4 linked regions of the Lepisosteus oculatus genome follow. The protein of the gene in region 4 interacts with the protein of the main gene of each other region in a pairwise test. Links are inferred from orthologs where the notes say so. Each region holds a gene or a part of one and is shown on either strand. Other genes may lie near its edges.

Region 1 (7,351 bases), on a different chromosome or scaffold from region 4:
CAGTACATCTTTAGTGAAATTTTTTTTGTAAAAAGCATGTGTTCAAGCACAACCTGAAGAAATATCTCCTCTCCTGTTAAACGGGACTGTAAATAAGCACTGAAATTCCAGCAAAATGATTTAGGTTTGTTATTCTTTATTACTAATAGTAATACTAGTAATAATAGTACTACTATTTTAAAACACTGAGTCATAGAACATGCAGGAAACTGAGAACTGATTTATTTGTTATTGTATTTAAGGCATTATGGGTTGAAATAATGAACCTGTAATGGGTGTAAAATGAATGAATCATATGCCAGGACTCTGTGGTGAACATGAGTGTTAACGTCCTCTGATAACAGGTACAGTGTGAACTGGTAAGGGATGGTGATTCAGTCTTATGAAATGGAGAGGCTTGGGACTGAGATAATACAGTATGAACTATGAAGGGTGGCGATCTATCATGATGAAGGCGGGGGGTCGGGGTAGGGAGTTGGGTGGCTGTTGCACGCAGTGGTCTTAAAGCCGCCGAGCTCCAGCCGATTCTCCGGACTCACCAAAGCGGGAAGGTCCTCTTCTTGTCCCGGCCCATGCGATTGCGGTTGATGGTGGTGGAGCAGGGCACAGCGTCCAGGTGGTGGGAGCTGTTGGGGAGCGTGGGCACCCACTGGCTGTTCCGCTTCGCCTTCTGCTCCCTGGGCAGAACATGTGAGAAAAAGAACCTAGAGCTTTCGCGGAGGATTACAACGATATAAAATATATTTTACCTGGACATACTGAGTGTCATTTGGTCATTATGAAAAGGGCAATTGCCCTTTTTTATTGTGCACCCGCTGAATCTGTAACCCCCCCATTAGTTTTAAGGCTTGATTCTCTGACAATGGTTCCTGCTCCGGCTCAGGAGCTCGTGACGGATATGACCCTCCCAACACGTTCAAGTGCCCAGTGCCTGGTGAGATCTAGCACTGCACCGATGAGTGGCGCCGTTCTCACCAATGTCACCGCAAAAACAAATCACAGACGTCACCGCTGCATCGAAAGGCCCCTGGCAGCACGGCAGCTCTGCCACCTATGAAATCTTAGTAACCGCTGCTTAACCTGCGCTCCAAGAAAGCACTTTTACTGGTTAAGCAACTCAAGTTCTGGTAATAAAAAATAACATTAAATAACAACATGATGTTAAAAATTCCAAAACATTACATCATTTGCATATATATGAAATCTCATTTAGCACTGCACACTTTAATTGATCCAGACTAAGGAGGTTTCATGCATTCTTCATGGAATCGCAAGATGATAAATGATACAAGATGGGACATGCTTAATTTGAAATGATTTGTGCTGCACTGGTATGGATGCTCCAGACTGATTTTCTGTTGATCTAATTCATAAACCTGCATGACATTTTTGGATTCACCACTGAATCGCAGTAATTACCAAGTTGTGCTTTGTAACATTACCTGAGGTAGGCAGGTGGCTCAGTGCTGATGGAGACTGCCTTGTACTTCTCATCGTTTCCTTCCAAGATCTCCTCAACTTCAGATGCTTTCAGCAGAGTCACACTGGTGGCTAAAGTTGTGTAACCGTGATCTAACACAAAGAAAACACTGAAGATACTGCTGTCCAAAAGTAGAACTTTCGGATTTACTAGCTCTGGGGAGAATGTTTCTGATCATTAAAGTGATTGCGACTCACACTTCTTGAACTTATTGGTAAATTATCATCGCTGATAATAATGCTGCTATTGGGCAACAGGAGTACTTGAAAGTGATAAAGACTTGACACTCACCGTGTGATGATGCTACAATTTTCTTCCTCTCCTCAACAGAAGCCAGCCTCCGCCACAGTGAAGGGTACCTCTTGTACAGTGAGCCTCTGAACATCCGCAAGTAGTTTCCTACCTAGGAAACGAAACCAAAGAGTCAAATAGCAGTGTCCCTTAAAGTAGATGAACCTGAGGAAATACAATAATTTGATTTTTTCTCAGCGGGTTAGATGTTAACATTGAACATGACTTTCTATGATTAACTGGAAATTATGAATAAATACTTACAAACACCTCTAGTTACTAACACCTCTATTTCGTTGCCAATTAAATATATAAGCCAACCAATAACATGTCATACAACCACATACTATATTTTCAGAATTAAGGAATGTCTTACACTGACAAGTTCAAGAACTTCACTATTTTGTCTTTAACAGAAAAGATTACTTTAAGTATCTAAGTAACTGTACTTTGACAAAATCAGCCCAAACAATTTAAGCAGAAACTATATGGTTACCCAGGCATTTAAAACTGAAAAAATGATCATCGCGGATCGATTACCATTCGAAAACGCCAGGTTAACCGAATGACCTCATCTAGTTTATAATCTTTGTAAATTCTACTCAAACAAGAAAACCCATTTCCAATAAATGACTATATTAATAAGACATTCAAATTCGTGTAAATCTGCATTTGTCAGTTTGACATATGTGACATCCGAGATACTGGTAATGAAAAACGTGCTGGAGAAAAATGTTTACGAAGACATTGCCAGATAAAGTGGATTCTATCATTATCTTCAGCATCTAGGTGACCGTATGGTGTTTCTTGTTGACTTTACGAGAACCAATACGCCCTTTCTAATTAATTTAGGAACATTTGCTCACAACACTAATCAAATGCTACCATAATAGTGTGAGTTATTTTAAAAACAAGATCGTTTTAGTTCAATTTTCTGAATTGAAGAGAAATAGAAATAGCGCTTACCCAACTAAGCCAGTTCATTCAGTAAGCCCAGACAGCAAAACACAATGAAACCGTACCCCAGGTTGACTTTAAACACTAATATCACAGCTCTAAAAAACGCTAGAAGCAAAAGGATTACAGAACCCGATTCAAGAACACCCCGTTAATAAAATACATACCTCTGAACCAATCATGTAAAATTCCCCATCTTCTTCAAGTTGAAATTTCACCGGCTTCTGCCCAAACGTTTTACTTAACGCCATCTTGGCTGTAACAAAAGCACCACAATGCGCATGCGACTATTACAGCAAGCGATCCGCGCATGCGTTGTTAAAAAGTCAGTGGAAACGGGTGTCTCCTGTTCTTGCTGTAGCGCCACCAACAGGAGCGAATCGTTAGCGCAGTGCATTGAAGGCTCAGCCTCGCGTAGACCTCTGACATCTAAATACCGTGGGCTTTCTGAAAATTTCTTCTTAATGAAAACAATGTTCATGCCAAACACAAACTGTTTGCTTTGTATTCAAACACTCCATGCGTCTGGAAACAATGCATAGTAAAACAGCTTGTGATGTGGGCAACAGCTTTATAATTTGGGTGCAAGTACATCCTGCATTTCCCACTGCCCTACTTGCTAATACTAATACATTTTCTAACAACTTCATTGAATTCAAGGTAACAGGAGAGCCGGAACCTGTCCCAGCAAGCAATAGGCGCAAGACAGGATACACCCTGGACAGGACACCAGTCCTGGGCAGAACCAGACAGCATTAGACACACTAGGGGCAGTTTTCCTAGAAACCAATTAACCTACTAGTATGTTATTGGACTGTGGCAGGAAACTGCAATGGGAAACTCGGTCCTTTTTACCTCTCCGACCCTGATAAACCATTGAAAACCACCACCTTGTATCCTAGTCAAACTAAGAAAACTTCCATTGCCCCAGTTGTACAAGCCAACATCTGTTAATTCCTTAAATGAGCTAAATGTAGATTTGTTAAAGGCACAGAGTTCCTGGCTCTTTTTGCTCTAAGGATAGCTGCGGTTTTGAGCATTAAAAGCAGTTTAGACTGAAAGGATGACAATAATTTGGATTATTGAGTTCAATTTCAATTTTATTGTAATGCTCCGCAGTAATTTGTGTAATTATACTTTTTTATAGACAGTTGAGAACACGAGGGATTGAAATTAAAAGAGGGTTTTTTTTTACTAACAATGTCAAATGTCTAAAGCTACATACATAAAGCATAAGACACCAAAGATAGCACTTTTAATACAGAATATAGTTTTGTAGTCTTACAAATGTTCAGTAGGACATTTTCACATTTATGGGTATTAAAATGAAATTTGTAGTTTCCCTTATAAAACTGATACACCAGCGTCCTCATTCAGTCATACCCCTGCTATTTTGGGGAGAATAAAGAAGAAAAATGGTGATGAAGCTCATGAAAAAGGTACAGTATGAGCTATATTTCCTTTCAATTCAGCAAGTGATCAGTAAATCTTGACAATTTAGCGACTTTCATTTCCTTTAGTTTTCCACAGGTATTTGCTTTCCTCTGAGATCAGAAATGATACATCAGAGCACTTGTCTTGTACTTTGGAGCACTCCAGGTTTCTTTCATCATTCTGTAATTTTTCTGCACTGCGTGAACTGGAAAATGAGACAAGGCTCCAAAAGCACAGGCCAGTGTAAGTTATGCCCCATGTCTTACAGCTGCAGTGAACAGACTCCTTAATTAATGTTAGCAATCCACTTTTTGTCAGGGGAAGCACAAAATTAATATAGGATTTGGATATAAATAATTTCTTTGGAAAAGTGAGGATATTGGCAGGCCAACAAAAACAGGAATTTCGTATGAAAGAAAAATAAAGAACTGCTGTGTCCAAAGACACTTTTTTTGCTCAGTGTCAACTTGGTCTTCACTCTTGGCAGGACTTGTCTCACAGTTTCTCGAAACCGTGGAACCATCAATTCCATTTCTGACGGAGCATAACATCGTCCTGCAGAGGAACTCTGTCCCTTCTGCTTGCTGTGAGCCTTGTCTTACATTTTCACAGAGGAAACAAGATAAGGAACAGTCTGGGGGCAGACACATTAATTATCTCAACCAGAGTCAGTACAAAATGAAACAGCATCTATACGGCTGTTTTAAGCTACGAAAAGATCTTTGATCTCCATTACTGTGCATTCATGTTTTGTATGCTTGGAGAATAATATATAGGTAGCCTTGGACCTCTGCAACATGAGTGTCTGGAAAGAGGGAAATGAACCTTCTTATATTGTTGCTCATATGCTATGCTTATAGTTCTGGTTCTCAGAGACTCATGAGTAATGGGGTCAGTTATTTTGGATACTTTGCTATTTTTATATAAACTCTGCAGTTCTTTGACTGAGAAAATAGATTTTAGCCATATTTCCATTACTCTGTAAATTATTTTGTTGACTCTAGCAGTAAGGGTGTAGAGGTATCCACTTAGACAGAAAGACACATCTAGATGTAAGTAAAGATATTCGTTTATAGGATGTGACACAATTTACAGTACCCTTAGGTGGAAAAAGTGTTGTGCTGGCTTGCAAAAGGGATATCCTCAATATATGTAATTACAGATACTGCAAAAGATTAATCAATAATCAAAGGATTTCTGTTAATGACTAACTCAGAAATAGCTACAATAGAGCAGTAATAACTGCCAGCTGGTGTAAATTTACATTTTATAGTGTTCTTTTTAACTGAACCTTCAGGTATGAATGGCTTTAGATGAAATGGCTTAACCAATAAGAGTTTACAATTATTGTATACCTAATATATAAAAAAGAGCCACACCACAACGGATATATGAAAGATTAAAGACATGGTTTATGTCACTTATCCCCAGGATTAATGAGGGAGCATCTGGAAATGCTTATTTTATCTGAGTTTTTTATGCTTCTGTTTTGCTTTGTTTAAAATCGCTTTAAGACTAAGAACTGTGGCTTTGGGCCAAAGTCAATCGTTTTAAAAATAAACTAGGTCTCCTAGTTGTTTGTGGTTCAGAAGGTAGTGATGCTGCTGGAGGTCAACGATAATAGTACAAAACTGTGGAAAGAAGAAAGGGATTCTGTCCATAATTTGAAATTGACCTTGATATAGACAACAGAACAAACAGACAAGGAGTAGGTTGCTTGCATTCTTCCTGTTATGTCCAGAGCATTCAATATTAGCAAAAATGAAATAATTGCTTTCAGAAGTTAATTACACTCATACATTTCAGAGCACGGGTGTTCAAACGCATACAATCTGATTCCAGACAAATGCTGATACAATCTCCCATTTGATGGAAATTTGGAAATGAAAAATGAACTGCTTGCAAAACACATATAAAGGGAACAAAATAGACGGCAGAACTTTCAAAGTACTGGAACTGATTAGAAACAAGGAAGGCCTAAAGCTCTGGGCCCTGACCGTTTCAGACAAAAATAGGTTCAAAAAGGCCTACGCAAATTACAAGAGAGCATACACTGTCATGTTTATGATATAAACCTTGTTTGCTCAAAAAGGGAGAGATAGCATTTCTCAGGGAGCCTGATGACTAGACAATAATATCTTTGACTTTAAATCTCTTTGCTGGTAAATTCTTTCCAGCAGGAGTCTCATTAAAAGATGCAACCCTCATTCTGGCTTTTATTAACAGTCTCTCTACATTTTGTAAGACTGTGTTTTACTATAGTCTCAAAATGGGGCTGGAAATGTAACATGTTTGTTGTTGTTTGATTTTTATGGTGGGGGACATCAACAAATGCTTGATCTTACAGTAAACTAGTCCTACTTCGAAATATGTTTTTTCATATTTACATTTTATAACATATAATGTAGTCAATTATGTTTTTAACAAGTGCAGATTTGTTTGGAAGGAAATGGCAGAGAATAAAGAAACTGTTTAGCTCATGATAAAGTACTGTCTTTTTAAGTGCAGACAGAAAGCATTTTCTAAAGCTGGCTTTCAACTTTGTATACATTAAAGTACAATTAAAGATGTTCCATGCACTTTTCTCAGTAACCAAAACTTTAATTACTCCAGAGGAAAGGTCTCTATTTCTGTAATTATATCACAGAAGGATTCCACAGAGTACAAAGACTCTTTGGAATGTTTCTACAAGATTGTGCCTTCTGTGTTTATGAACCTTAGGTACATCAATGTAGCTGTTATCTCAAATGCCAGAGGGCAGTGGAGAGTAACTGCTGAAATATTGTCATAAACCGATTGAACAGTTTTCCAACAATCCCTATTTTTTTCCAGGCATTTATATTCTGAACCATCTCGCCATTTTCTATCCAGTTCACGGTTGAGCGGGAAAGCTGGAGCCTAGTTCGACAAACAGGGCGCGCAAGGCAGGGTATACACTGGACAAGACACCAGTCCATCGCAGGGCCACACACAGACACAAACAGACACACTCACACTCACACCAGGGCCAATTTTCCCAGAAGCCAGTTAGCCAACCAGTATGTCTTTGGGCTCTAGGAGGAAACATGAACCAGCAAACATACAAACTGAGGCAGATTGCTCCCCAAGTCCGGAACTGAACCCAAACCCCAGTTTTGAGACAGTTATGCAATGCTCGTTCACAGAAGGCTTAGCAACTTCTAGACTGTT
Region 2 (7,172 bases), on a different chromosome or scaffold from region 4:
CCAGCCCCAGCCGGAGCTGATGGTGACGTGTCTGAAGACTTTGGACTGCTCCCTCCCTGTCAACCAGGCGCAAACCTGGAGCAGTGAACGCAGAGGCAGGTGTGTGCCACATGCTCCAGTGAGGGCTGTCATAGATCACCGGACTTATTTACAGTACGGCCTTATGATATGATTAAAACAGACATGCTAGCAACTTAGAGAACAGAGATCCCCACTACATAGACTTACATCAAACCTTTATTATTTAATCATAGGAAACGAAGCACTGAAATCAGTTATCACTACTGCAATCAGTAATCAGCCAATAATGATGATCATAAACATTTAAATAGACAAAAACATGAATAATCATAATAATCCTATGATTTAACCATTATTGTTATACCTTGAGGTTTATGACAAAAAATGTGATACTTTATTCAGAAATACATGAAATACATTAATCCTAACATCATTCAAGAATCACCACTACCCATCACATCACTGAGCAAGACTTACAGAGCCTGTGGGAAAGCTGGCAAAGCTGGCTGGTATAAAAGACTCTGTTCATTTTTAGCACTAGCATAATTGGCAACAGGACACGGACTGTAATTCATCATGAAACAAATAAATGGACAAGTAAGCAAATTAAATGCAACACATTCCCAAGGTCTGTGTGTGTTGTGAAATATGACAGAAAACCAAAGCACTTTTGGCACTTGGACTTCAGCCTGCTTCTAGCTGATCTTATTTTTACAGACTCTTCCGAGCTGAATCCTGGTATTTCACACCTGGAAACCACTGGATGGTGACCCGGCAGTTACCAGAAGTTTATCTTGTAATCGCGATGATCGCAGATTTAGGAAACATTTCGTAGACCACAGCTGGCTGTCCTGCCTGCCCTCACACGAACCCTTCCAGATTAACCAGTTGGATTAATGCCCCATTTACTGCTGGTGACCATCGCTGTGCTCCAGCACTGATACCCCCTGAAGCTCTATTTATACCCGTGGTGCGGGGCACGAGCGTTACTGATCTGCCTGGGACGATACAGCGAGCCTCCCAGCTCTCACATGCTTCTGGGGGCTCAGATGACAGCAATCTATCCCGAGGCAAGGGTCCTGCCAGGGGAACTGCAGTCACGCCCGCGACACTCTCCTGTATAAAATAACTCTGGCACTCCGTGGTGAAGGCAGAGTGAGGTGCAGTAACAATAAATCATGCTAAAATGCCGTAAATTATAGAAATGTATTTTAAGGAATGTACATCTATGTCAGAGCAAAGAAAAGCCCCTGGTATAAGCATGTTAATAACATGGGAGATTGCAAAAACACTGTCCAGATGTTATCCGTGTTAACAGGGCATGCGTCATCATTATCCTCCTGTACCGAACATAACCTGTCATGGCCAGCAGAGTGGCTTGGTAGTTGATGTGACAGTAGATGTACATCTCCAGGGGTCGATTCTGACTTTATGCACCTGGCTGTGTGAAGTGTGCATGTTCTTCCTCATGCTCCCTTTTGAGTTTGCGATGAGTAATCCAGGTACTCCCAATAAAATCCGGGAACGGCCTTGATGTTGCCACTGTAAATTGGTGCTCGGTGCTGGGGAGGTCTCAGGACTGAAAGTGAGACTGTGACTAGTGATGTCTTCTCCCAGGTCTCCTGACACAGCTCTTTTGCGCAGTGGGCCTGGAGCACCCCTATGAGCTGTAGAGGGTGGGGACTCAGAGGTGAGACAGTAACAGCAGTAAGCAATTACTGCTTACACTGCAGCTAGCATTTCTCTTGGTCCACTATCTGTCACAGTGGTGCTTCTATTAACAGGAGGCCTGCTGTGATACCATAACATTGAAAGGGAGAAGCCACTGCTCTGAAAATCTCAGTTTTACAATTAGAAGAATGTGTCTATGATCTGGGTCTTCTGTGAAGACGATGAACATTGGACTTGAAAATATTGGTTTTTTTGTAGAGCGGGGGAGAGTTTGAGTGTCCTGGGAAAGGAAACGCTGACCGCTTCTCAAGAGAACATATCTCCCTCTCTTTTCTAAACACTGCAATCCAGATAGCCTTTGATATAATCCACACTCAATTTAAAATGGTAACAGGGCTGGGCTTTAACTTTGTAGTCCTTAAAGCCAAAAAGAGCATAAGTATAGCGTAGTATAGGGTAGTGATAAGTATAAGCTGTCTTTAAGCAGTGGGTGTCAGGTTTCAAAAGCAATGATGTGTTAAAACTGTTGAGTGGCGCAGGCAGTACAGGTGGTAGATTAGAGATCAGGGTGAATTATATTTAGCCTGACTTTGTGGGTATGAGCCTGTGTCTTGTCCCATGTGCCAACTGTGATGAAGATTCTCCCAGCACCGACGCAAGCTCAGGTGCTGCTGGGATAGTGTTGGCTTTACTCAGCCCAGGTTCTCTTGAGCTGTCTGACGCCGGGCCGACTGTCCAGTGATGAATAGCTGTATGTATGGACATGTTGGAGAAGCATGTCCAGATGTCTCGTTTTTTCCCAACCAGACGTCTTTAAGAACCAAGTCCCCAAAATAATTTTAGACTGGTAGGGAATGTCAGCAAAAATTATGTCTTATTCAATTTAATAATATTAAGCCTATCAACCCTTATCACTTCATAGAGAAAATGTATTTAAGAGGATGTTAGAACTGACTTTTGTTAGGTGGATCCTGAAATGTGATTTAATTGACCAAGAGTACATGAAATTCAGTGGTGCTCTTTTTCCTCTTTTATGCAAAAATATAATTTTAATTTTGTCCAAGCAGCATTTTGCCATTCCTGTTGGAAGTCTTCTTACAACATGTGTTATTCACTGTGTTTGAAGTATCGCCGTTAGAAAGTGTTCGTCTGTGCAGTTCTGTGCTACTTTATGAATTCCCTATATGGGCGACATGGAGAACGGAAATCATTTTCATGGAGTTTCTTATCTAAACTGGGAGCAGTCTGGAAAAATGTCTTATCTTACATCAACCCCTGCCTTCAGAAGCAGCTCTTTCAAGCAGCAGGTCTGGTCTGATTTCCGCTGGCTCCTGACCTCAGTGTATTCATCTTGATTAGTAGCTATTATCTCACACGGCACCAAGAAACATCCCTACCAACAGATACAGAGATGGAGAAGTGTGCTTGGAGTAGCCAGCACCCCAACATGTGCACATATTTCACGTGCCTGTCCTGAGGCACTGGGAGGAGGGAAAAAGCCAAGAAGATTGTTGTGAATTCCCTGAAGGCCAGACAAACTTGAGAGACTTTAACGAGCCTGGTTGGGAGACCCCCACTTTTTTGGTGGTTGGGTTGAACTTAATTTTCATAGCCTGTTGATAGCATCATTCATATTTAAAGGAGAAAGCATCAGTGTACTGTTGAGAAACATTGTGGTCTCCATTACCCAGAAAAGCTTACTGTCCACAGGTCTCAGCACAACATCTCCGATACAGGAATGTGGGAGGGGGGTGGGCGATCTATTATTATGAATTAATTATTAATGAATTATTATTACTTAAGAGTCAGTGTCTTATTGTTAGTCTTATTGGTTGGACTTTTACCATAGGAAAGTTCTGCTGCTCTCTTCTGGTGAAAGGTAGACACTGCAGAAACAAAACTCAAACCTCACTCACACAAGTAGACTTGAAAAATTAAAAACGCGCCTAATTGATTTTTCGTTGAGTTTTTTAATATATATAGGGTATTTTTCTTAAAAGTCCATTCCTAGGACAGAATATCCATTACTACACATGTAGTTCGTCACATGCGTTAGCACGCGTAGGCTGCAAAGGAAAAAGTAAAGGTTTATTCCCTGCGGAAAAGAGAAGTAAGGAAAAACAACGTTTCGGCTGCGGAGCCAATCTACTGTATGAACTGGCTTCATCACTCTATTCTCCTCCCCACTGAGAGCTGATGTGTGGGGAGTGTATTGGCGCACTATGGCTGCCGTCCCATCATCCAGGTGGGGCTGCACACTGGTGGTGGTGGAGGGGATCCCCATAACCTGTAAAGCGCTTTGAGTGGAGTGTCCAGAAAAGCGCTATATAAGTGTAAGCAATTATTATTAATTACTATAATTATTCTTCGGGTGTGGCCCCACAACCGAAACGTTGCGTTTCCCTCTCTTTCCAGCAGGGAATCAACCTTTACTTGTTCATTACTACACTCGCGCCCTAGAGGGCGACCTTGCTCTCCTTCCCGTGATGCTCCGGCGTGGTTTCCAAGATGACGGAGCCCAGTACTTCACCGGAGGACCCGTGGAGCAAAGTAAGCGAAACAGTTTATTCCTCAATACACGTGAAAGCAACACAAGAATATTTGGAAGATTTCCCCCCGCCACGTCTAGAAAGGCAGCGACAGCTAACGTAGCGCTGTCTGTAGCGTTCAGACACCGCACTGGCCGGGGAAAAAAATACGATCAAGGGTTTTTTTTTTCCTCCGTTACGCTACTTGTTATTGTCATGAAACATAACTTTCGTTTTTGAAGTCTTCTGGTTTCTTACGTATTCATCTTTAATGCATGCATGTTCTACTTGTATTAATTTTTCGGAGCACTTTCTAGAACCACTCAGTCCGCAGTCCTTATTCTAAACCTGTGCAGAAGTTACTTGGATCGATGCACTGTACGTTAAGGACTAGGGATCAATAATAATGATTTGCTAAGTAGACGTTGTTGTCCGGAGCAAATGGGACACAAACGGGAATTAAAAAAAATAGATGTTTTCTTTTTGTTTGCGACGCCGGAAGCTATAGGCTTTTGGAGAAGAAGCCAGCTGGTTTCCTTTAATGGGCGATCTTAAAAATGCACGCTTTTGAAACCAAAACGCGACTCGAATCTCTCTTAGGCAATGGCCGCATGTTAAGAAAAATACAGAAGGATTTTTCACCACTATGAAAAGCTACCTGTTATAATTGTCTTTTGCTGTTTCCCGTTTTAGGGGGTATAGTTCATAGTGTGTGACTTTGGGTCGAGTTGAGTTTATGTCCCGAATTTGGAATTGTAGTAGTGAGGTTGTTTACACGCACAATCTCCTGGTTCCAGTACGGCAGACGTGTTCAGTATCCGTGGGCACACACGGAGGTTAACATTTTGAAGGTACTCTGCTGCATTTCCCTATTTTTCACTTAATATAAATACTGGTTTGTCCGAACGACTACCCTTTGTCACTGGAAATTAAACATTCAGTTTCCGATCTATAAATAGAACAAGACCAGCCAGCAGTGGCTAAGTGATTATCAGTGGACATAAAGTGAATATAAAAAAAATAGGTTTGAATTGCGAGGTATGTATATAGCGCACAATTCAAGCTAATCCCTAAAGGTGTAATATGCTACGCGGGGATATCCCACACAAATATTGCATTGAAGTTTAATAGCATTGTAAAAGTTTAAAGAAAACATTGGTGGGAGTATACACGCCCCGCCCTTGGCTACTTCCTTGCGTTTCAATTGGCTGTTGGCATTCGCTCATTTGCATGGGGTCGTAGGATTCTGGGATATTGGGGTTGTGGCACAATTCCGCTTTCTGGTTTCGCCCTGGCGATTGATGGTGCCGGAAAATCCTTTTGTTTAAGAAAAATATTAACTATAAAGTAACAATATCTGGGATGCAAAATTAAATATTTTATTTTCTAGGTTTGCAAATCGGCCGCTGTCTTAAACGGCGTTTGTAAAGTTCACCCTTCATTTTTCCCGAAACCAGAAAAGAAGAATGAATTATTCTAGTCTTTTTTTATCATTACTTTGTGGTTTTACTGATTTTTCGACGTTGTAGTCATTTACTGGGTGCACAGCTCAGTATTTGGGAACTTATGCTTCATGAATAGTTTTGTGAAACAATATTTCTGTATGGTACCGTATATAATTTATATTAAAAACACAAGAAAATAACGAGAGAAGATATAATTGAGGTTTATTAGGTGTCTTCTAGCAAAATGAAATGAAAATTTTTTAAATTATTAAAAAGCATTCTGTTTCTGATTGTGAAACACCAAGCACAGCTGAACATATCACTCGTGGAGATGACAGAAGAGGTAGTGATTTTTTTCTCTCGGTGTGGATGAGATTAGAAACCAGTTTTTGCTTAACTCTCTTTATTTTTTCAGCAGTTTTGTAATCCTTACAGATACCTTCTATTTAAAAATTCAAAAAAGAAGTATGTATGAGGTATATACAAGGTAGAATGTTCCTTTCTACTTTGACGTAGATTAATATGTGTAGATCAGCCACCGAAAAATCCCATATAAATGTATAGTTGAGTTTGCAACATCAATTGTGAAAAGACCAAGGGGGGTGGATACTTTCTAAAGGAACTGCAGCATTATGTATCTAAAACTCCTGCTCTACATTTTCCTCTGCAGAGGCTGACACAGCATGTCAATGGAAAAGACAGCTGCTTGGTCAAATTGCCCCTCTCAAGCTGGTTATTAAAATCTCTCGTTTTGTTTCCTTTTCACTTTTTCTCTGCAGCAGCCGGATCCCACCTTCGCTGACAATGGACTCGACCCCTGTAAGTACTCTTGCTGCCTGTCATCTCGAGGTCGGTGGTGGTTGTGTTGTCAGGAGCCCTGCCGTCTCTGTGCCAGAGCAGAAACCTGCCTGCCCGCAGATCTCTCGGGAAGCCAGTGGAGACACGGGATCCGAGGAATGGGTAGGATGGTGGCAGAATCCGTAGGGAAGAGGGGGCAGGGTCTGACTGGGTCAGCTCTGTGAACTTTTCTGGAGGTCATTTGTATTTTTGAAGTTGGTCAGACAGTTAAAAAACTGGAACCGGTAAAGGTTTATCCCATGCTGAAAGGCAAAGAAGAGAGGTGGAGTTTTGGGTGTGCAGCCTTCCTCGGGTGTCCAGAAGGCATCCGAAGACACCTCCTGCCTTCTGACGTTCGAGTTCGAGTGGGTGGCTAGCCGCGCATGCTGATGTGGCTACCTACTTGAACAATTACAAAATTGTATGTTTTTTTTCTTTGGTCTCTTTCTCTGTTTGCCCAAACAACTGAAATCTATTTTAAAACGATCCATCTTGAGATGCATGACGTGTGACAGCTCTGCCTGAGCGTTGGACATTTTGAAAACACCCCTTATGCTTAGAAATATGCAGTGGAGTGTTGCTGTTTTCGTTGTGGAAGGTGTTTTTCGGGTGTGTCTTCAGTGAGTTTTAAGTTCCATCGCCCTTTAACTGGGCTACATGCTGCAGCTCA
Region 3 (7,836 bases), on a different chromosome or scaffold from region 4:
AAGCCCTACTTATGTTTTTTTTCTAAGGCTTTGACACACATATGATCTAAACTCCTGTTATATTCTTCGCCAAATGAGCTTTGTTTGTTTTGTATAGTTAAACATCTCTATATTTATCAAGTGGCCAAAGCCTTCTATGATCTAAAATGCAATAGTAGACATAATCTTGATACTGTATATCACTTTCTGTCTTGTGGTCAGACTTCCTGATAAAAACTCTATGTGAGTCAGCTGATCTTTGTTCAGAGTATGGTGATGGTAGGTTGTTTCCTGCTGAAAAGGTAAGGTCACAATAGAATTGCAGATACAGTATACGTGAGAATCATTGAGGGATATTCCTCCATTGCCTCCATACTCTTCATGGTTACACAACAGTAGATGCCACCTTCCATCCATCCTGGAATATCTTCTACTATCTCTGAATCATAGCAGTGGTGTGCTTCCATCTCCCTATTGGAGAACATGCAGTAACACACTTTCACACTCTTTTTACCCTCATTGTGCTCCCTGAATAGGTCATTTCAAGCACAGCAGTCAGAAGTCAGGTCTCATCTGCACTACTCACTCATTAAGGCCCGATTTATATTCTGCATTCTTCTCCCAACATGCCCTATTCTGATCTATTTATCTTCTAAATTGTAATAATGCATTTAAAATCTTCTTATTGTGGCCTATGTGTATCTCCTGTGCCTAAAATTTACACTGTAGGAACATTTTTAGTTATTTCACTACTCTGCTAGTTACTGTCACTTTTTCCAATTTAATTGACAAATTGTGCATGGTGGTGCAATGGTTTTTAGCATTGCTTTCTTGCAAACCTGGGGCCTTGGGTTTAATTCCTGGGGTGCTGTCTACTGTAAATGAAGCTTGTGTGTTCTCTCCATATTTGTGTGGGTTTCCTCTGGGTGGTCTGGCTCCCTTCCACAGTCCAAAGACATACTGGTAGGCTAACTACATTAGCTTCTGGGAACACTGGTCCTGGTGTGAGTGTGTGTGTTTGTGTCTGTGTGCCCTGTGATGGAGTGGTGTCCTGTCCACGGTGTATCCCCTCTTGTACTTGTGTTCACTGGGAAAGACTCCCAACCCCGCCATGACCCTGTTTTGGATGAAGTACAGGAGTTAGAAAATTGCTGGATGGACATTCTGCTTCCCTTTAAACCATTACCTCTTTTACAGCTGCGCTGATGTTTGTTCTGTAATATATTAACTTTTCTTGTGAATTTTTAAACTGTCCTTTGTTGTTTGTTATTTGTAGTGTAATTTTTGATAAATTCACAAAATACAGCACATGAACTTCAGATTTAAATTGGCTTGTATTCCCTATCCATCGTCTAACAGGTTAAAAAGCTGATGAACTTTTGTATTTTACCTGTATTTACTTTTGTACAGTACTGTATATACTGTCCTTTGAGTATGCCTTATTGTAATTTGGAAGATGGCTTTGGAAAGGTGGTTGCTTTATTAGAAGAAGCTCACTAAAATAAAAATGATTAGATACATTGGTTGTCTAAAGGAGATTTTTACTTATGGAGTAAACTTCAAAATCAGGTCAGAAGGAATCCTGGCAAAACGACATAATGTTGGCACATGTTTAGGTCCAAAATCCACCTCTGCCATGCAGTACTTATTTCCTTCTTCAAGCTTCCTTCCTGCAGTAAAGACAGAATTGTAGATTTAAATTTTGATTCATTTCAATAAATATGTCAGTATCTTTAATATCTTGGATAATGTACATTGTCTGAGAGAAAATATAAATATAATATACTGAAATTAAATATAAAATAATGAAAGAAAATGTATTCTATATAATGAGTTTCACAATGCTTATATTGTAGCCTACATAAATGTTCACAAAGGTTTTTCACGTGGGACCTGGGTTTCCTCCCACAGCCCAAAGACATAGTAGTACAAAAGGTAAATTGACTAAAATCCAGGATGTATCCTGCCTTGCACCTGTGGCTTGTCCGTATAGGCTCCGGCTCTCCTGCAACCCTGGATAAAGTGGTTAGAAAATGGTTAGATGGATGACCTTTCTTTTTTTTTCATTTTGGCCTTTCAACATGACCCATTGTGGATTGGCTACTTTTTTTATAGCACATTTCATATAGTATATTTTAAGAACATATTTGTCTCACTCTTCAAACTGGGTTATTTTTACATGCTCACAATGTGAATTTCTTTGTGAATCTAATGATTCTTTTTAGTGGTGCTCCAAAGTCTTGAGACTCCTGAATGATGTACCAGGACGACTTTTATGTTGATTTCAAATTATTTACTTTACATTGATTGACTGAGAGCTCTGGCATGAACTGTATATGAAAGTATTCGATGTAGTCTTTGTTGTAAAGCTAATGATGGTCTCTCTATGTTACCACAAAAACATTTCTTGTTTGCCTTTTGAAGTTTTCAAAATCTGTTGTAGACCTGTCAAAGTCAGTAACTTCGGCATGTAATCTTTAAATAGTGTGAATGAACCATACTGTAAAAGAAATGAATATGAAATGCATTCATTTATTGTAAAATTCATTATATATGGTTATAAACAGAAATTATGGATTTCTATATGGTTATATTGAAAATATACTGTACACAAATTATGGAAAAATGACTGAATCACAGATTAATTTATTACAGGAGATGTATTTTCCCAATAAACAGAAGCTGCTGTCATTCCTGTTAACTAACACTAAATTATTTTATTGGAACAGAACACTATTTAAATGAAAGCCCTTCTTTTTGTAATTACAGTTCCTGCAGAAACCCCAAAAGATGACTAACAGGATTTTCAATATCTGAATGGCAAATCATGAGAGAAAGGAAGCTTTACAGGATTCAACGGGACATAAGCATTTCAAAAGCAATGGTAAACAGAAGCAGCTTTGAAGTAGGTTGTTATTTTGTTTTTTATAGACTGCTATGAAATTCATCATCTGATATCACTACAGACATTATCAGTGAATAGGAGCCAGCTGCAAATATAATACAAAAAGATCAGAGGTCCATTCATTTTAATGAATTGTAATTAAAAAGACAAAACATATACCTAGGAGATCTGAAATACTTTAATATTTTATTAATTATATTGTGATTTGTTTCTGTTGAGAGTGGACTATACCACAACAATTGAGAGGGGTTTCTAAGTGCTGCAGCTTTTCTGTCTTGAATTTGATGAAAACGTGGGTTCAGATTTATCTAAGACATGCTCTAAAGAGAGGAATTGTTTCTCTGTAAAGTGATTTGTAAATACGGATCACAGGTAATTTTGGTGATATTTTGCAGTATGCTGGTTGTATTGTGTCTAAATCATGCTAGAAAGAGATTTCCATCTAACCTGAGCATATTTTAATTTCCTGATTTATTAAAATTACTTACCTGGCACTGGTTACAACAGCAGTATGTCAAAACTTCAACCTTAACATTTTTCCAACCTGAAATTCCAGAGTAGTACATGAGTGTCTGTTTGATTATTGATTTATTTGGCTGATGAAAATATCCAAAGAGATCTACTGTACACCTTTGTACCCATTTATATACTGTAGCTGATCATTTTACTGGAGCAGAGTGAAGTACCTTGCTCAAAGGCACAACCCCAGAGCCATAACCATTATAATCTATTTTTGAAGCTTTTTTATCTGGGTTTCTCAATCTTCACCGTGAAGTACATAAAAAGATTAAAATTACTGCTGCTCCTTAACTTAGGTTTCAAACAGATAGGAATAGGATTGGGAGGTCTTTTTAAAGGTTTTCCACTTACCACATATAATTTTGTGGTCTAATATGCTTAATTTACACATACTGTATCAGGCCTTGCATTCTAACAAAGTTAAAAACATGTACTTGTACTGTATACAGTATGATACTTGCAGGGCAGGACCTGTGTTTTTGAGGGTTTCCTGACGTACTGATACTGCTTTACAACTTTGCAACATGTTTGATATGTACTGTAGATATATGATACACGTACTGTATTATGAAATACTATGAATTCAGTATGTATATTTTGCCACAAGCAAACAGGAAATTGAACCATAATGGTCTTCAAATCTGACTCATTTCTGAAAGTTTGTTGTTTGAAACAAAGTTAACTCTGCCACACACATGTTCATCTAACACTAATCATCATATTATTGATGACTGGGGGTGATGGTAATTGCACATTCTGTTTCTCCCTAGTCCATCTTTCTAATATTATAATATGAATAATGTAACTTCCTTGAAAAATACAAGGAAAATAATTTTATCCTAAATAAAAGGTTTCCTACAAAATATACTGAAGCCTATGGTATTTCTCAATACAGTTGGGAAGAAAAATTAAGTTAACTGATAAAAGGCCTACAAGACAAACTGCTCATTGTGAGTTTGGTCAAGTTTTTAATTGAGAGAAAATGTTCTTTTAAAGGTTGCTAAACTTGTGACATGTACACTATACTGTAAAAAGGTACCGTCATTCAGATGAGACGTAAAACCAAGGTCATGACTCTCTGTGGTCATTAAAAATCCCAGGGCATTTCTCGAAAACAGTAGGGGTGTTGTCCTTGGTGTCCTGGCCAAATTTCCCCCTGACCTTTACCAATCATGGCCTTTAATCTATAAATTGGCTTCATTAGTCTGTTCTCCTCCCCACTAAATAGCTGATGTGTGGTGAGCATTCTGGCGCACTATGGCTGCTGTAGCATCATCTGGGTGGATAGTGCACATTGGTGGTGGTGGAGGGGACTCACCATTACCTGCAAAGTGCTTTGAGTGGAGTGTCCAGAAAAGTGCTGTGTAAGTGTAAGCAATTAATTTAAAAAAAATTCAAGAAGAATTAGTAGTTCCTATTTTCCTACTACAGGTAAGTGAACACATCTGCATATTTGTTGCATTAACTCTAATTACTGTATCTTTGACGTCTGGACTGTAGCGTTTAATTTGTATCATTCAGGAACATCTACTGAGAAATTTTTACTCAGACATCAGGCATTTGTTGAAACCGTGGTACAAGTATAGCCGGTAGCAGTTTCTGACTAGCTAGCTACCAAAACTCCAAGGGACGCCGCATAACTTTGCAAAGCATTCGTGTTCACTGTGCTACGTGGTTTCAGCCACAGCGTGCTGCTTTGTCATCTTACCCCTTGTGGTTTACCTCCTTTTGTTCACAGAGCAGAACCGTGGAGACTGAACACGTATCATTGATCACTGAACAGCGTACTCTTGGTACCCAGACCAGAACGATTACTTTGTTCAACTTAAGTACAGCGTCACTGTGGCAACACGGCACTCGCTGTACTGCTCTTAAGTCCCACCCTCGAGTCACCCAACCTGCACTTTTCTGAGGACTGGCTGGAGTTGTAGTGTTTGCTTTCCACCTGTTTACAGAGAGATACAGAATAAGTTTGAGAAAGCAATGACGGCGATTCGTAACAACCGACTTTCAAGACACCTGCAAGGTTAGGAGACTAAAATTGCGCATGCAAGACTGTAGAACGGTTTTATTTCGCTTGCTGAAAGAATGATTTTTATACCGCAAAATCGAAGTAAAGGTAAGAAATGTTTTCTCAATAACTTAAGTTTTTAACTTCTGCAGTATACATGAAAACGAATTTGTATTTGTCTGCGCATGTGCAATCTATTAGAGTACTACCAGCTGAGCACAAGTCCATTGAAATGTTTTAACAGGAAGTTTGTTAAAATTTAAAGTGTGTTGTTTGAAAGCTGAATTCCTCAATATAGTTTTAAAATTATTCTTTAACGCTGAACAATAATGACGTTTTTTAGTAAAATTTAAAGACTCGGCAGCAGTTCTGAAATAGAAAGCAGATGGTATATTGAAGGTACAAAAGTGTACTTCCTACTTTAAGTTTGGAATACGGTGGGAAAAGGTATTGCTTTTCATCTATTTAGAAATAGTCTATTTTCTAAAAATGAACATATTGAACACCACGTGGAGAGAATCTTGCCACTAGTCAAAAATATAAAAAAACACATTCAAATACTGATGTTAGTATAAATCTGCTTTTAATGTGGAAAATACACTGGACCTTTCAGGAAAGTAATATTTATCTGTGAGGATTGTATTTTTCCTAAGGATGTGTCTTCTGTTGCTTTTGGCATAAGTTATGTTCCATGATTTCAGTGAAACAAATGTTATGTCAGTCTTTTGTAGACTGCAAATTTCGCATCTGATTCTTGATGTTCTTAGACATGTACTGTATCACTATCTATAGAAAATTATAGTTTCCTTAATACAGTATATTCGGCCATACGTATTAGTGTGTAAACTGATGTCTACGCACAAAAAAAGAGGAGTTAGAGTAGTCTAATCAGTGTGTGAAAAATAATTTGATGTAAAAAGTTTCTGTGTATACCAGAATGCTGTCATCACACAGGACTGCTGTCAATTACTAAAATGTATAGAGTGACTTTATAATTACAAGTGGGTTTTCGAACCAATAGCCTGTGTTGTTTCAGTGCTTCTTTGTATACTGTATATTTGTTAAAAATCATGGGTGAGTCCTCTTCACGTGGACATATTCAGGTGTAAAAAAAAAAAACATAGATCTTCCTCTTCAGGTGTCTAAAAACAGATTATTGGTTTTAAAAGACATGAAGTAACTTACAGTTCAATTTTTGTTTTAGAAAATAACAGTCCACTTGATTTAATGACTACCAGTAGTTATGTGGATGATGGCAGACGCAGAGATTCAGTCTTCAGCTACAATACGACAGGTGTGCTGAAATAGAACAATTTTCCCATTATCAGACTGTTTTCCTATCTTGCATGTTTGAGATTAAATGTACTGTAAAGGACCTGCTTCATTTTTTCCAGGTCACTATAATATGATCGGACAAGTGTACCTTACCACCACTACCACTTCCTCTGTGAGCTTTTTGTTGAATGCAGATTCTGTGGTAATATTCTATTCAGTTAGCTTGGACTGATAAGGCTGCATGTGAAAGAATCGAATGAACATTGTTTCATTTGCTGTATGTGCGGATGTAAAAACTGTCGATACTCTTAAAATAACCTTCAGTTATAAAAATGCATGATGGTGAATCTGCTTAATTGGATATTTCAGTATATTCAGCAAAAATATTTTGCTTGTTTTTTTTTCTTCTATATGGGTAAATAATTTGTTAAATCAAGAAAAGACGCCTAAAGTGAGATTTAGGTAGGGTTTATATTTTCCTGTCTCTAATATAAGGTTTTAACACTTAAATGAACAAGGCTACAAACAAGAGCCAGTCATTCAACCTTTCTTATGTTCTTATTAGGCTTAATCCATAACAAATCAGGACATGGTTTTATTTGATCCATTTAGCAGACACTTTTATACAAAGTGCCTCATTATAAAATAATCCTAACTTATGCAGTAAAATAATTTCTTGATCAAATATAAATGTTACACTGTGCAACAAGAAAAAAAAAAGTAGTGACTTAGATTCTTAACTGTGGCTTAAGAATTCATGGGAGAAAGTTGTACTGTAGGTATCAATATACTGTAGACAAAATATGAGAATCGCAGGTATAGACGGAGGAGATGAGTTCTACTGTATTTTGGTGCTGAAAGGTCATCAGGGGTGGTTTAGTCCTGATGTCTGTGGATAACTCGTTTGTTAAGTTAATAGAGAGTGGGAATGAGATAAGACTGCAAAGATAAGGTAGGACTAGGTGTGTAGGAGTGGAAGGAATATAGGGAGGAAGAAGGAATATAGGGAAAGGAAATAGATTGGCGGGGTACAAATTAATGGAGAGAGAATTGTTCATAAGAATCTTGAAACGATGCATGCAGATATTGGAAGACTAGAGCTTTTGAAGCAGATGAATATATGTTAGATATAAAACAAAGGAATCAA
Region 4 (7,105 bases):
TCGATCCCGAGACCTCTGAGCACCTCAGCAGCGCCGGATCTTTTCCCCAGGAGGAGGACATGAGCTCCACACCAGCGCCCCCACGCCAGACACAGACCAGCTTTCGGCCCAGGTTTCAGGCTGGGGTCCTGAGTCTTCGGGGTCCCCCTCGGGCCACTGCTGTAGGGACTGTAGGGTGTGTGGAGCCTGAGGGGCAGAAAGCACGCTGGGCACTGGGCCCCGGGCTGGTACCCCCCTTGAGGCCAGCGGGACCAGTAACTGACTGTGGCGAGTTAATAACAATAATAATTATAATTATTGCTTACACTTATATAGCGCTTTTCTGGACACTCCACTCAAAGCGCTTTACAGGTAATGGGGATCCCCTCCACCACCACCAGTGTGCAGCCCCACCTGGATGATGCGACGGCAGCCACAGTGCGCCAGAACGCTCCCCACACACCACCTCTCAGTGGGGAGGAGAGCAGAGTGATGAAGCCAGTTCAGAGAGGGGGATTATTAGGAGGCCATGATTGGTAAGGGCCAATGGGAAATTTGGCCAGGACACCGGGGTTACACCCCTACTCTTTTCGAGAAACGCCCTGGGATTTTTAATGACCACAGAGAGTCAGGACCTCGGTTTTACGTCTCATCTGAAGGACGGCGCCTGTTTACAGTACAGTGCCCCCGTCACTATACTGGAGCATTAAAACCACGTGGACCGCAGGGTGAGTGCCCCCTGTCGGTCCCACTAACACCCCTTCCAGCAGCAACCTTAGTTGAGGGTTGTTGAGATCTGGGGGTGAAGACAAGGAGGAGCAGTAGTGACACTCCAGGCGCTCACAGGTGAAATCACAAGTGACACAGCACCAGGGTCCCAGGCTCCATTCCAACCTCAGGCACCTTTCTGTGGGGAGTTTGCACGTTCTGCCCAGCTCTGCAGGGGCTTTCCCCAGGTGCTCCAATTCAAGGTGCACAGGTAACCTCTTCATCCTGGAGAGGAGGACGACTGGGACCCCCCTCTTCCCGAACCTCACGCATCGGGAGTTTCAGAACCTCCACACACAACGCCGGGCTTTCCTGATCCTGTCGGGGGGAGGGGGGCATCACATTGCTCAGCCCCTCATGGACCCCCTGTTAATTAATCAAGCGTATGAATCGAAAACTGACGGAGATCCAGATGATCAACACAAACCAGGCGACAAAGACGCCTTCTTCTGGAGCTGATCTGTGGCCGGACTCTGCGGGTCTATCCTTTCTTCAGAAAACGAGTAGAATTAATTTACATTCTATACCTGTCTTTCAGCGCCAGCTGGAGATCTGAGCAGCTCTGAGCCCCCGGACTGCAGCTCCAGAGCGAAAACCACGGCCAGACGCACCACGATCTAAAATGATGTAATATCAGGCTGAGACGCCATGAATTAATGTGGCCTGCGTGCGTGTTTCTTTCCAAGCTCACCTAATCACAGCCGAGGAAGGCTGTATAAATCTCATTAATAACAGCCGTATGAGCATTTAAGGTGCTGCAGTAAAAATGAAGTACGTTTAAAATGTAAGCCAATTGGAACCGGTTAAATTTAAATAAACTGTATTAAACTGGACCGGTTAATGCGGAATTGAGGAACATACCCTATAAATTACAACACGGCATTGTCTTAAGTATTTTAATTTCATATTTTGGTCAACTTTCGAGGGGCGATATTCAGTTTAGCGTCAGTTTGATGAAGTTATCGTGAAACGCGTGTGTCCCTCATCGTCCGCCTGCTCTCTTCAAGATGGTAGCTGTTACTGTCGCGGACGACCAGCGGGAGAAACGCGTCTCGCCTCCTCCGGCCCCGGGTCCAGGGGAAACCCCCCGCCCGGGCCCTGGGGGTGACTCCCTCGCCTCTCGCCCAGACGAGCGGCCCGCCGGCGGCGGCAGGGACCCCCATCCCCGGCCGGGGTCCCCGGGCGAGCTCGCTGCGCGCGAGCGAGGACACGGCCATTTTGTGGAAGTTTTGCAGAAATAACGTGTCGTTTCCGTTCGGGCCGCTTCAGGCGCGGATCTCGCCGGAAAGGCGGCCGGCTGTCCGGGGGGCAGCGGCGCGGCTTCAGTAGTAGCCCCCGGGCCGCCGCCGCTGCCCCCCGGACGTGCGCTCACGCAACGCCAGGTTTGCCCCCAGCACGGCGCGCGCTCCCCGGGGCAGGAGGGGCGACCCGCCGCGCGTCTTAAAATGGACCCCGGCGGAGCCGCGCGGCGCCGGCGGCCGGGTCCCCGAAATGTAAACAGCTGCTGCCGGAGGAACGGAGGGGGGGGGCGCGGGTGCACGCGCTCGGGGTGCCCCCTGAGCCCGGAGGAAAAACACACACTCACACGAGCGCGCGCACCCACACTTCGACGCGCGCGCGCGCGCGCAGCGATTTTAAACACGACGGCACGGCGAGAGCGGATCGAGAAGGAGAATAAAGACGCCGAGACTCACCGAGTGTCTGGATTGTGGAAACATCATGTCAGTTTCCTGTTGTTAATTCCTTCTGCCGAACAAAGACGAAAGCCGGGGTGAGGGACCTGGAATCGCTCCCTTTGTCTCCCCGTGTCGGGGACGGAGGTGCTCGCGGCGCGTCGACGCCAGTCACCGCAGGAGACGAGCCTCGCTCCTGTTTCTCAGCCCTGTGTTCGTCTTCCCAACCGGCCCTAATGTATCCCACTCATACTGCGGAGCGCTGGGGTTTCTGTCCTTTGTTTTAAGAGAGAAAGTCTCGGAACCGTGTTCTCCTCCCAGACGGTCCAAAGTTTGAACAAGCAGCGCTGCTCCTGCGCGGCTCCCTTCCCCGTGACTGACAGAAACGCAATCACGCTGCTCCCCGCAGCCCTTCCCTGCCTCGCCGTTACTGTCTGCCGGCGCACGCCGTCCTGCGCCTGCTCGGCAGCGGGCGGATGAGCTGGGCGGACGTGTTTTCAGAGCGCCCTGCGGGTCGTGTGCGTGGGGCTGCGCTCGCGGTGTGGGTGCCGTGTCTGCTGACCGACCATGTCGCCGCCGCGCTCGAGCTCTGACACCACGCACGAGCCGCGCGGCCCGCGTGACGCGGGACTGGGGCGGCGCTGCGCTCGGGCGCGCTCGGCAGGCCCCGGCTGCGCTGTCGGGTGGGTGAAAACACGAACGCTTAGCGGAAGTGTTGCCGTCTAATGTGTCCCCCCTCTCGCCCTCCTCCCGGCCCGCGGGTGCGAGCTCTGTTCCTCCCCGCACACCCGTGGGGTCCAGGCCAGGGGTGCGGGGGGTCTAGTTACTGTGAACTACACGCGTTTTCAATTGCTCGGGGGGATTTTAAGTCCTCAGGACCGGAACCGTCTTTTAACCCTCCTAGACCGCCATGATGATTCCGCTGTGCACTGGCTGCTTAAACGACGTCTGGCTGTGGGTATCCCAGCGAGACGATTCACCTAGATCAATTCGAGTAGGGAGCAGCGTCGGCCGCAGAGGAAAGGGTGAAGGTGTTTTCCCTGCTGAAAAGAAAAGAAAGGAAACACAGCGAGGCGTTGTGCCGAAACAAATGTCGTGTTGCTTTTTTCTAACCTTCCAGCAGAGAATGAACCTTCACCTGTTTGGATGAAGCTCTGTGTGTGGACGAGTACTCTGTGTCTCGCATGGGGATGTTTCGTGCCCTGACGTCTGTAGGTTCAGAGGAAGTTGTGAAAGAGGAGTATGTTTCCCGCAGGCCCAGCACAGGGAAGCGCCGATCAGAAGGAGCGGTCCGAGCGAGTCCAGAGCTGTGGTGCTGTCTCAGAGGTCCACTCTGCCCGCCCTGCGGGACCCAGCGGGACCTAGCGCTCCCGGCTGAAAGCAGAGCACTGCCTGCTGGTTCTGCGAATGAATTTTTAATAAGACAAGGCCAGAGTCATAACTATTTAATGAGACATAATCTGTACTGCAAATAATTAATCAGGAGCTGTCTGTATGATGCCACAGCTGATGGGGAAATAACTTTTGGCTGCGGTTTGAACAGTACAAGGGATGGAGTGGAGTCAACTGAAAGGCCACTGTATTGTGTACAGGACTGTATCACTGTACTGTACTGTGTGTTGGACTGTATCACTGTACTGTACTGTGTGCAGGACTGTATCACTGTACTTTGTGTAGGGCTGTATCACTGTACTGTGTGCAGGACTGTATCACTGTACTTTGTGTAGGGCTGTATCACTTTACTGTGTGCAGGACTGTATCACTGTACTGTGTGTAGGAGTGTGTGAGTAGGACTATATAACTGTACTGTACTGTGTGTAGGACTGTATCACACTGTACTGTGAGTAGGATTATATACTGAAGAAGGCTCCACAGTTGAAACGTTGTGTTTTCTTTCTTCTTTTTTTCAGCATGGAATAAACCTATTACTTGTTCCTTTGCAGCCTACGCATGCTGACGCAGCTACCCACCTGAACTTATATAACTATACTGTACTGTGTGCAGGACTGTATCACTGTGTGAGTGGGACTGTATCACTGTACTGTACTGTGTATAGGACTGTACCATTGTACTATATTGTGAGTGGGACTGTATAACTATACCCACTATGCCTTCCTCTAAATCTTTCTCTAGATCTCTTCGTCGTTCCTTCTCTTCCTCCCTGGGCTACCTGCTCCCTCTCTCACTAAACCAGCTTTCCGCCTCTTCACAGCGATCTGTTCCAAGATCCAAGACCAGGCTTTCTAACCACCTTCTATTCCTTTACAGATGTCGTCGTTATAATATCATTCCTAAAGGATTTCGCCTGAAATTTAACACTTTTTCTTTGGACTTGTGTAATACTCGGAGACTTCTATAACAGTGTTAGCGGAAACTAATGCTTTCTACCATCCTCTCCTTCAGACAACAGATGACCCTTCCTGGCAACAACATCAAGGAAGCCAAGGCATTCTTACGGCTCACAGCTGCATAGCATCTTCTCTTCATAACAAACCTCATCAGATCCCTCAACTCCCAACTCCACCAGTTCCTCACTTCAGAGAAGGGTAAAAAACTCAATCACACTCAATCCTCTTTTCACCACCTCAGCCAATCCTAACCTTGTGGTTCCTATACCCTCTGACCTCTCTCTTTCACAGGATGAGCGATCTCTTCTCAGCAGAGCCCTGTTATGTTCCAGACCCAAGAAGCTGGACATCCCGCAAACCCAAGTCGACCTCAACCGTTTTCACCGCAGGATTCGGCTCAAAGCTCATTTTGCTGACAACGCCTCCTCACCTCACTGATGCCATTAACAATATAAATCCTAAACGGAGCTCTTGGACTCCCCCTTCCGGCCGGTTTCCACCAGTTGATTACTTTATTAACCAATGCAACAATCAAGTTCCCAAGACCCTTTCCAAACCCAGGAAACGCAGGTCTAACCTCACCCAAGGAGAAACTCAGGCACTCCAATCTCTCCGCACCAGGGATGAGATGGTCATCAAACCAGCAGACAAAGGAGGAGCTGTTGTGGTGTGGCAAAAAGACTTGTACATTAAGGAAGCCTCCAGACAATTATCCGATACTTCTGCCTACCGTCCTCTCCAACAGGACCCTACCACTGACTACCAGAAGGAAGTGGTATCCACTGTCGCTCTTCTTTTCAGCAACCAGGTGCTGCCCCAGGAAGCGAACCGTCTCATCGTCGAACATTCCCAAGTATTCCAATTCTATCTCCTTCCCAAAATCTAAAAACCCGACACCCCTGGACACCCCATTGTCTCAGCGTGCAATTGTCCGACCACACTCAGCTCTGCTTTCCGGGACAGCCTTATGAGACCTCTGGTTGAAATGCTTCCCTCATATATCAGGGATACGAACCATGCCCTCCAACTTTTCAATGATTTCCAATTTCAGGGTCCAGAATGCTACATTTTTCCCATGGATATCACGTCTCTCTCCACCATCATTCCCCACAACGACGGTCTTACAGCCCTCAAGCACAAGCTAGACAAACACACAGTGCTTGACCCTCCCACCCACACTCTAGTGCGTCTTGCGGAATTGGTTCTCACACTCAATGCCTTCTCATTTTATAACCTTTTTTTATCAGCAGGTTAGTGGAGTTGCCATGGGCACCAGGATGGGACCCAGCAGTGCCAATATTTTTGTCGGCTGGGTAGAAGAACGCTTCCTCACTTCCTACACTGGCTTCATCCCTGACCTCTACAAGTGATACATCGATGACTGCGTCGGTGCTGCTATCTGCTCTAATGACCAGCTAGAACACTTCCTGCATCAATTCACCAACTCTCACCCTTCCCTCAGATATACAGTTAACATATTTTCCACCACTCTTCAGTTTCTAGACATAAATGTATCTGTCCACGTCTCTCAACCTCGGTCTATTACAAACCCACAGATTCACACAGCTATCTTCTGTGCAGCTCTTTTCACCCCACTCACACCAAAAACACACCAGACCCTTTCTCACAGTTCCTCAGGCTACATCGACTCCGCAGTGACGACATGGGTTTCCAGAACCAAGCACTCAAAATGTCTCTTTTTTCATCAACAGAGGATACCCCACCCATGTTATTGACAGGGCTCTCACCCGGGCCAAAAACAGCCCTCGGATCATCAACTCGATCAGGAACTCCCCGTCTCACAACCCCATTCCTTTGGTGCTTCCCTACCACACACTTCCTACCCCCAGAACCATTATTAACAACTTCTCCACTTTACAGGGCGATCCCTCCATCGGTACCCCTAACCGCCCAATCATCTGACAAACCAATCTACGTAAACGTCTTGTTCACAGCTCCCGTTCGCACTCGGCAATCCCCACCAGGCACCTTCCCCTGCAACAGAGCTCGCTGCATCACCTGCAAATACATATCTAACAACACGCTCATTCAGGGCCCCTCAGGTCACTTCCAGATCACCCAGACGACATCCTGTACCTCCAGCAACCTCATTTACTGTATCTCCTGCAGAAAATGCCCAGCTATCTACGATGGGGAAACAGGAAGGAGACTAGGAGACGGCTTCAGAGAACATGTTAGGGCTGTGAAGATTTAAGATTTCTCAAAGCCCATAGTTTCTCAATGCACCTCAGACGGCCATGATCACACCGATCTCTCTGTCCCTGTTGTCAAAGGAGGGTTTCTCAACTCCCACAGCAGAAAAACTACAGAAACGAA

What was found.
Region 1: the proteins of tle5 (region 4) and smarcb1b interact in binary tests that used the Homo sapiens proteins (3 or more experiments, as listed by UniProt). The link is inferred for Lepisosteus oculatus from reciprocal best matches to the Homo sapiens genes TLE5 and SMARCB1.
Region 2: the proteins of tle5 (region 4) and mlx interact in binary tests that used the Homo sapiens proteins (3 or more experiments, as listed by UniProt). The two-hybrid records come from large-scale screens. The link is inferred for Lepisosteus oculatus from reciprocal best matches to the Homo sapiens genes TLE5 and MLX.
Region 3: the proteins of tle5 (region 4) and cracr2aa interact in binary tests that used the Homo sapiens proteins (3 or more experiments, as listed by UniProt). The two-hybrid records come from large-scale screens. The link is inferred for Lepisosteus oculatus from reciprocal best matches to the Homo sapiens genes TLE5 and CRACR2A.

Annotation. Positions count from the first base shown.
Region 1 is NC_090717.1:9,611,353-9,618,703, forward strand, and holds the start of smarcb1b (SWI/SNF-related matrix-associated actin-dependent regulator of chromatin subfamily B member 1b), read right to left. Parts: upstream 3,011-7,351; 5' UTR 2,980-3,010; coding exon 2,896-2,979; intron 1,884-2,895; coding exon 1,772-1,883; intron 1,573-1,771; coding exon 1,443-1,572; intron 678-1,442; coding exon 540-677; intron 1-539.
Region 2 is NC_090723.1:4,645,355-4,652,526, reverse strand, and holds the start of mlx (max-like protein X), read left to right. Parts: upstream 1-4,150; 5' UTR 4,151-4,200; coding exon 4,201-4,242; intron 4,243-6,444; coding exon 6,445-6,484; intron 6,485-7,172. UniProt on the Homo sapiens protein: Transcription regulator. Forms a sequence-specific DNA-binding protein complex with MAD1, MAD4, MNT, WBSCR14 and MLXIP which recognizes the core sequence 5'-CACGTG-3'. The TCFL4-MAD1, TCFL4-MAD4, TCFL4-WBSCR14 complexes are transcriptional repressors.
Region 3 is NC_090702.1:12,003,474-12,011,309, forward strand, and holds the start of cracr2aa (EF-hand calcium-binding domain-containing protein 4B), read left to right. Parts: upstream 1-4,654; 5' UTR 4,655-4,767; intron 4,768-5,109; exon of another isoform or gene 5,110-5,522; intron 5,523-7,836.
Region 4 is NC_090724.1:9,409,146-9,416,250, forward strand, and holds the start of tle5 (TLE family member 5), read right to left. Parts: upstream 3,009-7,105; 5' UTR 2,469-3,008; coding exon 2,442-2,468; intron 1-2,441. UniProt on the Homo sapiens protein: Transcriptional corepressor. Acts as a dominant repressor towards other family members. Inhibits NF-kappa-B-regulated gene expression. May be required for the initiation and maintenance of the differentiated state.